Linked DNA regions of Schizosaccharomyces pombe. The protein of the gene in region 2 interacts with the protein of the main gene of each other region in a pairwise test. Each region holds a gene or a part of one and is shown on either strand. Other genes may lie near its edges.

Region 1 (3,802 bases), on a different chromosome or scaffold from region 2:
CTACAAATAAGCAAGCATGAATATTTTTTGCATTTTTCTTCTTCCTATATATTTAATGACGCCAGGGAAAGGGATGTATATGGGGTAAAACTATCAAAAAATATGTGGATTTCCTGGGCTTATGTGGATAATTGTGAAGCTAATTTTTTTTGCAAGGATGGCACATATTTTTTTCGAACTACTTCGAGAAAACAAATACTTTTATTGGAGATAGGAATATTAATTAAACCCGAACGCTATAATTTATTTAAATATCGTGTTTATCTTCCCCAATTTTTACCGCCCACCGATTCACGTACACTGGTTGAATTTCAAACCATTGTATACACAAACAGTACATTATTATTCGATGGTTCATTTTATTTTAGTCAAAATGGAGGCTTCGATTTTGAACCTAGACAAAACTACACTTATTTTGATTTCAAAAGCGAATTTATAATCCTTCAAAATAGTTATAGTATATATGGACCCGCGAAAAATATAATAAAGCTACTGCTTGAGCTAATTGAGGTTATCTTGAATGTTAATGTAAGCACAACGGCCATGTGTTTGTTGACTCTTTTGATAGGAATTTATCTAATATTACAAGTTGTTTTTATTTACACGAATTAACACAGTCAATGAAACTATATTTACTATTGCTATATCGATTTTCATCTAAGGTATCGTCCGTCTTGTCAATCATTATATAACTAATTCAAGACACGGCGACAAATGCGCAGTTCGTTCGATATGCCATACTTCATCAAAAGGTATAAACTTATTACAAAACTTTTAAATACTTGAACCAATCGGAGATAGTAAAAATCTAAACAAAAAAAACAAACAGAAAAACTCACATAAATCAATCGTAACCAAGTCGAGGTTGAGAAAACTTCCAGTGAAATTAACTATCATAAGTACCGTATTTGGCCTTTTTGATGGCGTCCGTGATATCCAATTTTTTGATTTGACCATTGGAAAGATCGTAAATCCAGCCATGAACTTGTAAGCCACGCTTTTCCATTGCTTCACGAACAAAGCCAACCCGGGTTACAGAAATTGCTTGAGCACGAGTATTAAGTTCGGCAAGTTTAAGGCGACGAAGTTGGGGATCTTCAATGGCGTCAAGTTCTTCACGATTGTCTTCGATAACATCACGGATGTGTCGCAACCAATGATCCAACAAATTGTTTAAATTAGGACCAAGAGCAGCAGCGACACCACCGCATCCATAATGGCCACAGACAATGATGTGCTTAACCTTTAATACGGTCACGGAGTACTCCATAACAGCTAAAGCATTAATGTCAGAACGAGGAACGACATTGGCAATGTTTCGATGAACGAAGACTTCACCTGGAAGTAAATTCAGAATGGTGGTCTCAGGAACACGAGAATCTGAACATCCGATCCAAAGAACTTGAGGAGTTTGAATATCTTTGGTGGCTGTAAAAAAGGATGGGTACTTTCTGCTAGTTTGTTGTGACCAAGTCAGATTGCGTTCAAGCAAATCTTTGATTTCCCCATTCTGGTCAATTTTACCAGCGCCAGAAACGGGAGAAGCGGTTGAAGCTTCTCTGTCGATTATCTCGTCTTGATGATCGATTTCCTCAATACGACGTTTCAATCTATCAGGCATTTTCTTTTTTTTATCACTTTTCTCTAACAATTGACTAGACGAAAAAAACAATCTTTTTCTTCCAAGCGATGAAAAAGATATGGATTGTAAACAACTATTATAATTACAAGGAAAACGAATGAATCTCGATGTTAACCGCGGAGCCGCTATTATCGAGTAGCTGCTACTTTTTATTTGGTTAAAGGTAGACTGGAGTATGGTTTTTGGAAGCGGAATTTTTGTAGTTGTCAAAGCACCGAATGGTGGGAGCATGATACGTTTTTATACCACACGACAAAAATGGAAACGTTTGTGATGTGAGCAAAGCTATGATGATGAACTTTGATGTATAGCTAATACTCCGATAACAAGCCGTCCCGTCCGTCGAGTAGGTAAGGTTTATTGGTTTATCTATTATATAATGTAATTTATTTTGCTAGATCTTTGCAAGGGACTACCTACGGATAGTTTTGACGGCTTCGCAGTTAACAAAAAACCGGATACGATTGGCTTAAAATTGCAAATTGTCCCAAATATGAATAAAATGTTGACAGCCATAAAGATTTCGCAACCGTGCGAAATTTTTTTTTTCTAAACACAAAATTATTGGAGAAGAATCCGTCATTTATCAATTACGAGTATATCGTCTTATCGTTATACGTGTTTTCGATTAAGTTAATCTAAAATTAAATTAAGCGATAATTAGGTTTTGTAGATTGAAACATTTGTTAACATGGGCACCGCTGACATTACTATAAAAAAAGACGAAAAAAAAACAATTGCCCATTGTTACCCATAATAGGAGGAATGAAATGAAAGTAAAGACAATTGAGAAAATTTATTCAATAGCTTATACAGCTATTTCAAGTCTCGGCCAGTAAGTTAAGCACTTGAAGTTATATTTAAACCGTCAGTTTACCAAACATTAATATGTTTGTTTCAATTCCCATTGATAAACTCAAATACGTGTATGACATTAATTATGCCTCTTTGTGCATACGGTTTTCTTACTATTATAAAAATAATTAGCACGCCCTTAACTAACAACTATTTAGGTTGATTTGAACTTGTAGAAAAAGCTTGTAAATATCGTGCTCGTCAACTAAACGAATATAACAAACCTTAGAAATCATCGCAGCATTCCACTCAAACACATACCCTAACCTAACTCGAAAACCAGTCACAAAAGTTTCGAGTCCCTTAGTGTTGTGAATGCTTAATACTTTCTGCCATCAACACGCACTGCACTCCTCGTCAAAATGAAGTACCTTGCAGCTTATTTACTCTTGACCGTTGGTGGAAAGGACTCCCCTTCCGCTTCTGATATCGAGTCTGTTTTGTCTACTGTCGGTATTGAAGCTGAATCTGAGCGCATTGAAACTTTGATCAACGAGCTTAACGGTAAGGATATCGACGAGCTCATCGCTGCTGGTAACGAGAAGCTTGCTACTGTCCCCACTGGTGGTGCTGCTTCTGCTGCTCCTGCCGCCGCTGCTGGCGGTGCTGCCCCTGCTGCTGAGGAGGCTGCTAAGGAGGAAGCCAAGGAAGAGGAGGAATCTGATGAAGACGTAAGTTAATTTTAGATAAGAAGCATTCTTTGTTTCTCAAAAGCATCTTACTAACAATTTTAGATGGGTTTCGGTCTTTTCGACTAAACCAAATGATCCCTTGTTTTCATTACGCTTTCATAAAAATAAATCGCCGTGTTGGTTTTATTTTACCAATTTTTTTTTAGTGCTCCATTCGTAATAGTATTTTTCGTTTGATAAATGTAATTTTAGCTTACTTTAAATGTTAATGTACCACTGGTGCCCCGTGTTGTTGATTTGAATATAAGAGACTTTACACTTGTAAAGCAAGTCGTTGTTTCGAGAATAATAAATTTTATTTAGTATGTTACTAGGAAGTCTTTACAAGCGGCCCATAATTTTTCTTCAAATGCTTTCAAATTGTTTTGAACATGAAGCATGCAATAGTCTTTACAAACCTCAAATATTTCTTTAATGTCATTTTCCACATTTGAACAAAATGTGGTCGAAGGATGACTTATTCTAACTGCTTGCTGTAGCCTTTGAGCCCTATCTAAAAGCCACAAAACAAAATCATCAAGGGAAATAGAATAGCGGCCCAAAATACAGTGGTGTAACCCTCCAAATGATGGTATATTCTTCAATAAAAATAACGAGTTATTGGTAGGTACAG
Region 2 (3,747 bases):
TCGAAAATACTTAAATGAAGGTGGAAAACAAGGAGATGTTGGGATAACAAAACCGCATACGAAAACAAAAAAGCTAAAGTCCAATTCAATATTTAATTATGTGCGCAATGGTGAAGTGCTATATCATTTAGTAAGTACTACTGGAGGAGATACGTTTTTACGCCCCAAATTCTGGCCTCAAAGTCAGAGAATAAGTGGAATGTTAAAAAAAAGGATAACTATGAAAGAGAATAAACATCGTCTCATCCAAAGCATGAGCTGTATGCTACGCCATGCTAAACTTGAAGATGAATTTATGAAGGCATACATTTCAGAGGAGGATGTTGGGTATGCTGATGAGATTCATAAATGCATACAAATGGTTTTAAGTGATCTCGATTCTATTTACAAACGAGAATCAAAAAATTGGCATATCGTTTCGCAATTTTACAACATGCTTGAGTTAGAAGCAGCTAGACAAAAACTCGAAAATAGATATCTAAACTTTTGGAAGGTATCTCGACGCTCTTCACCTTGATGTATTTAATTCTTTAATTAGCTTCTGAGAGAAGTTTACGACGAATATCATAATTATTATTATTTTGTATATATCAAACATAAAAAAATTTTAGAAACATACACTCGCCTTGGAGACGTAATAAAGTTGTAAAGCAAGCAATTCGTGCATTGCAGTTCTTAATCGCGGCAGTACATATACAGTAGTATTCACATTGTGCTTGCGAAACTCTTTTCCCAAAATAACAAGCTTAAAAATTTACATGGTATACTTTGCGGAAATACAACAATCATTAGCCCAACCGTCAAACTACGAATAGCGTTTTCTATTTGCTTATATGATCTGATGTTAGAGGAGAACCTTGCTGTTTTTGAGAACTGAGCCATTGGTCTTCTATGTCCTGAAGCATTTGTAAATCTTGGTCATCAAACGAAAATTCTTGGCCCTCAATGTCATCTTCCAACGTAGCAAGTGATGAAGTATCATCCTTCTTTTCCGCTAAACCATTGTTTTCCAGGGATTCCTGAGTAGATATTTCGACATCATTATCATCCTCATTATCTGTCTTCTCTTCTTGTTCTTCCCTTACCCTTCTTTCTAGTGATTTTTTGCGATCTATAGTTTGTCGTATCACGCTCACCAAACTAGAAACCCGTGACAGCTTATTTGCAGTCTCTGTTTCATCTTCATAGGAGCTTTCCAATGTCCTTGACCTCTTAAGTCCTCCTATATTATTTAATCTCTCTTTAAAATTACTTGACGAAGGAACAGGCAATGAAGATGTCCGTTGAATAGTGGATTGTGCTTTTGGTTGTAAGCGATCCCATAGCTTATGAAAAGGATCATGCTTCCGAGTAGCGCTACTAGTACTGGATTTACAAAAAAGCCTTGAGACATCATCAGGAGACATGGCTTTCGCTTTTAAAGGAGAAACTTTCCATGAGACGCATGGTTGTTTATTTTTGGAAGAATCTTGCATCCTCAAACGTGCAATGAGTTAAATGGTAAAAATATTTTTCAGTTCACTTTTAAAGAATTAAACGAGTGATCCAGTTACTCTAAGATGATTACAACGTTTAGTATCAGAATCTCAGGTAAGGTCTCCAGACAAAACGAATACTGCCTGTTCGACAAAGATCGCTCCACACAGTATCTGCTAGCTTACAATTATTCTCCTTCTCCTGTTAATTTAGCAGTTGAAACACAACATGTAAACAATAGCAAATTACGCGGTCGTTTAGGTTAAAGACATCTGAAGGTCCCAAAAGTTCGAACTTTTTAGTAACTACTGGTTACCTTTATCCAAGAACAAAACTTTCTTTAATTACAAATGGAATATGAATACGGGTCCGTGGAATGGGGAATTTTAGAAATGTTCAATGATTGTAACGTAAACCAATGTTAAGTAACACCTGCAATTATGTGACTTTTCCATCAAAAAACTATTAAATTTAAATGAAAGCGTTAGAAAAGAATATAAGTTTAAGTACAAATTTTATGAGCTTATGGTGATATTGGATGACCTACACCTTAATATACTAACAACATGTCTACTCGATAAATTTTTTTATTTTTACTTACCAATGTAAGCAAATGTTTTTGATGTAAAGCGAAACTACGCATAAGAACTGTACTTTTTCATTTGGTTGTTAAAAAATGCAATATTACTTTTCATTGACTATTCCACTAGGCAGATAATTTTTTTCATTTCTGCTCCAAGACAATAGATATGCCAGTTTAAAAGATATGTATGATAAAAAAAGGTTTACAAAGACAAATAATAACAAGTGAGAGATTAAAGCATCAGAACAAGAATAAGCTGTAGGCATAAATTAACTCATTCTCATTATATGGTTATTAGATTCAACCCAAAAAATGACCTTCCTTGACGAAAAAAACGCAAATTGTTAAAATTTTAAAAATTAACGCGGTTATTTGGGCATTCTAGAAGAATAAAACAAAGAGCATTGCGGTAACACCCAAGCCAAAAACTAAAGTCTTGAAAGAAAGGATAAGTCTAGATGATGAAGAGATCGTAAATATACTACCAGTACCAGTAAATGATCTGGCAGAATAAGAAGGAGAGTAATAAGAGGTATAGACAGTGGTTGTGGCAGTTGCCGATGTAGATGGCATGACTGTACGATTGACAGTTGGTAATGTAAAACCAGACATCTTCGAATGTGGATACATAATCAAGGGATATCCGTTGGTCATACTGGCAGTCAAGGTTTTATCGGCACCAACGGTTAAAGTTCTGTGACCGAAGACATCAGAGACTACTTCATTGGCAGTGTAATTCGTCTCAACTTCATAAATTGTAAGGTTGTTGGTAACTCCCATATTATTGAACATGACGAGAACATCATTTTTTTGTCCAACATAGTGATCAACAGCAGATTCGATCGATTGATATGTGGAAGTGACCCAATCCGGATCCTGAGTAATGACAAACTTTCTAAATGCAACCATCGTTTTAATAACGGTATAGTACGGGTTTGATTGATCGTAATCAGTAAGCCAAAGTGCAGGACGATTAGCAGGATCCTCACCACCATTGAATCCCTGTTCTTGTCCGTAGAAAATTGAGGGTATGCCGTCCCAAATCAACACAAATGACAAAGCCCCCATAATCTGTGACTGGTCACTTGTGTAATAAGGAAATCTGTACAAATCGTGATTTTCGATAAAAGTCAACATTAAAGTACTATCATATTTTGAACAGTTTGAAGCCATTACCTCCTGGTAAGTGGGAATAAGAGTGAATCCAGCACCAGTAGCAGTAAAAGAGAAGTTTATGTACAACTGCAAAAAGTAATTGGTAACTCCAGGAAGGACACTCATGTAACTACACATAGTATCAGGATCATAAGAGAAAACTTCACCAACGCTGTAAACACCCGTAGCATCAACGAAATCAGGAAAGAATGTGTAGTTCATCATTTTCACAGCATCAATACGCAGTCCATCAAAATCGTATTTAGAAATAAGACTTTTGAAATGATCACTCAAATAGGAAGAAACGTCTGAACTTTCGACATCCAAATCGGCCAACAATACACCAGAATCTTGCCAACAATCCATTACGTTCGTCTCATTATCTGTGATATCCCAATCAATAAGACAGTACGGATGGAAGTAGCTCTCCTTGTTAAAAGGATTAAGAGATGAATAGTCAGCATCTGCTAGCGGAGGAGCAAGTGCCATAGAATTGACGATACTATCCAACATTACCCAGATACCCGCTTTAT

Evidence for each region.
Region 1: the proteins of dbl1 (region 2) and nce103 interact in a two-hybrid assay, tested with the Schizosaccharomyces pombe proteins (one large-scale study listed by BioGRID).

What each region holds. Positions count from the first base shown.
Region 1 is NC_003423.3:3,640,330-3,644,131, forward strand, and holds nce103 (putative carbonic anhydrase), read right to left. Parts: upstream 1,856-3,802; 5' UTR 1,622-1,855; coding exon 887-1,621; 3' UTR 613-886; downstream 1-612. Other genes in the region: protein mug45, read left to right, coding at 1-612; rpp201 (ribosomal protein P2), read left to right, coding at 2,860-3,168, 3,232-3,255; histone lysine methyltransferase Set6, read right to left, coding at 3,489-3,802.
Region 2 is NC_003421.2:831,526-835,272, forward strand, and holds dbl1 (protein Dbl1), read right to left. Parts: upstream 1,855-3,747; 5' UTR 1,476-1,854; coding exon 822-1,475; 3' UTR 541-821; downstream 1-540. Other genes in the region: mitochondrial LYR family protein Lyr2, read left to right, coding at 1-517; aah3 (GPI-anchored glycosyl hydrolase family 13 protein), read right to left, coding at 2,441-3,747.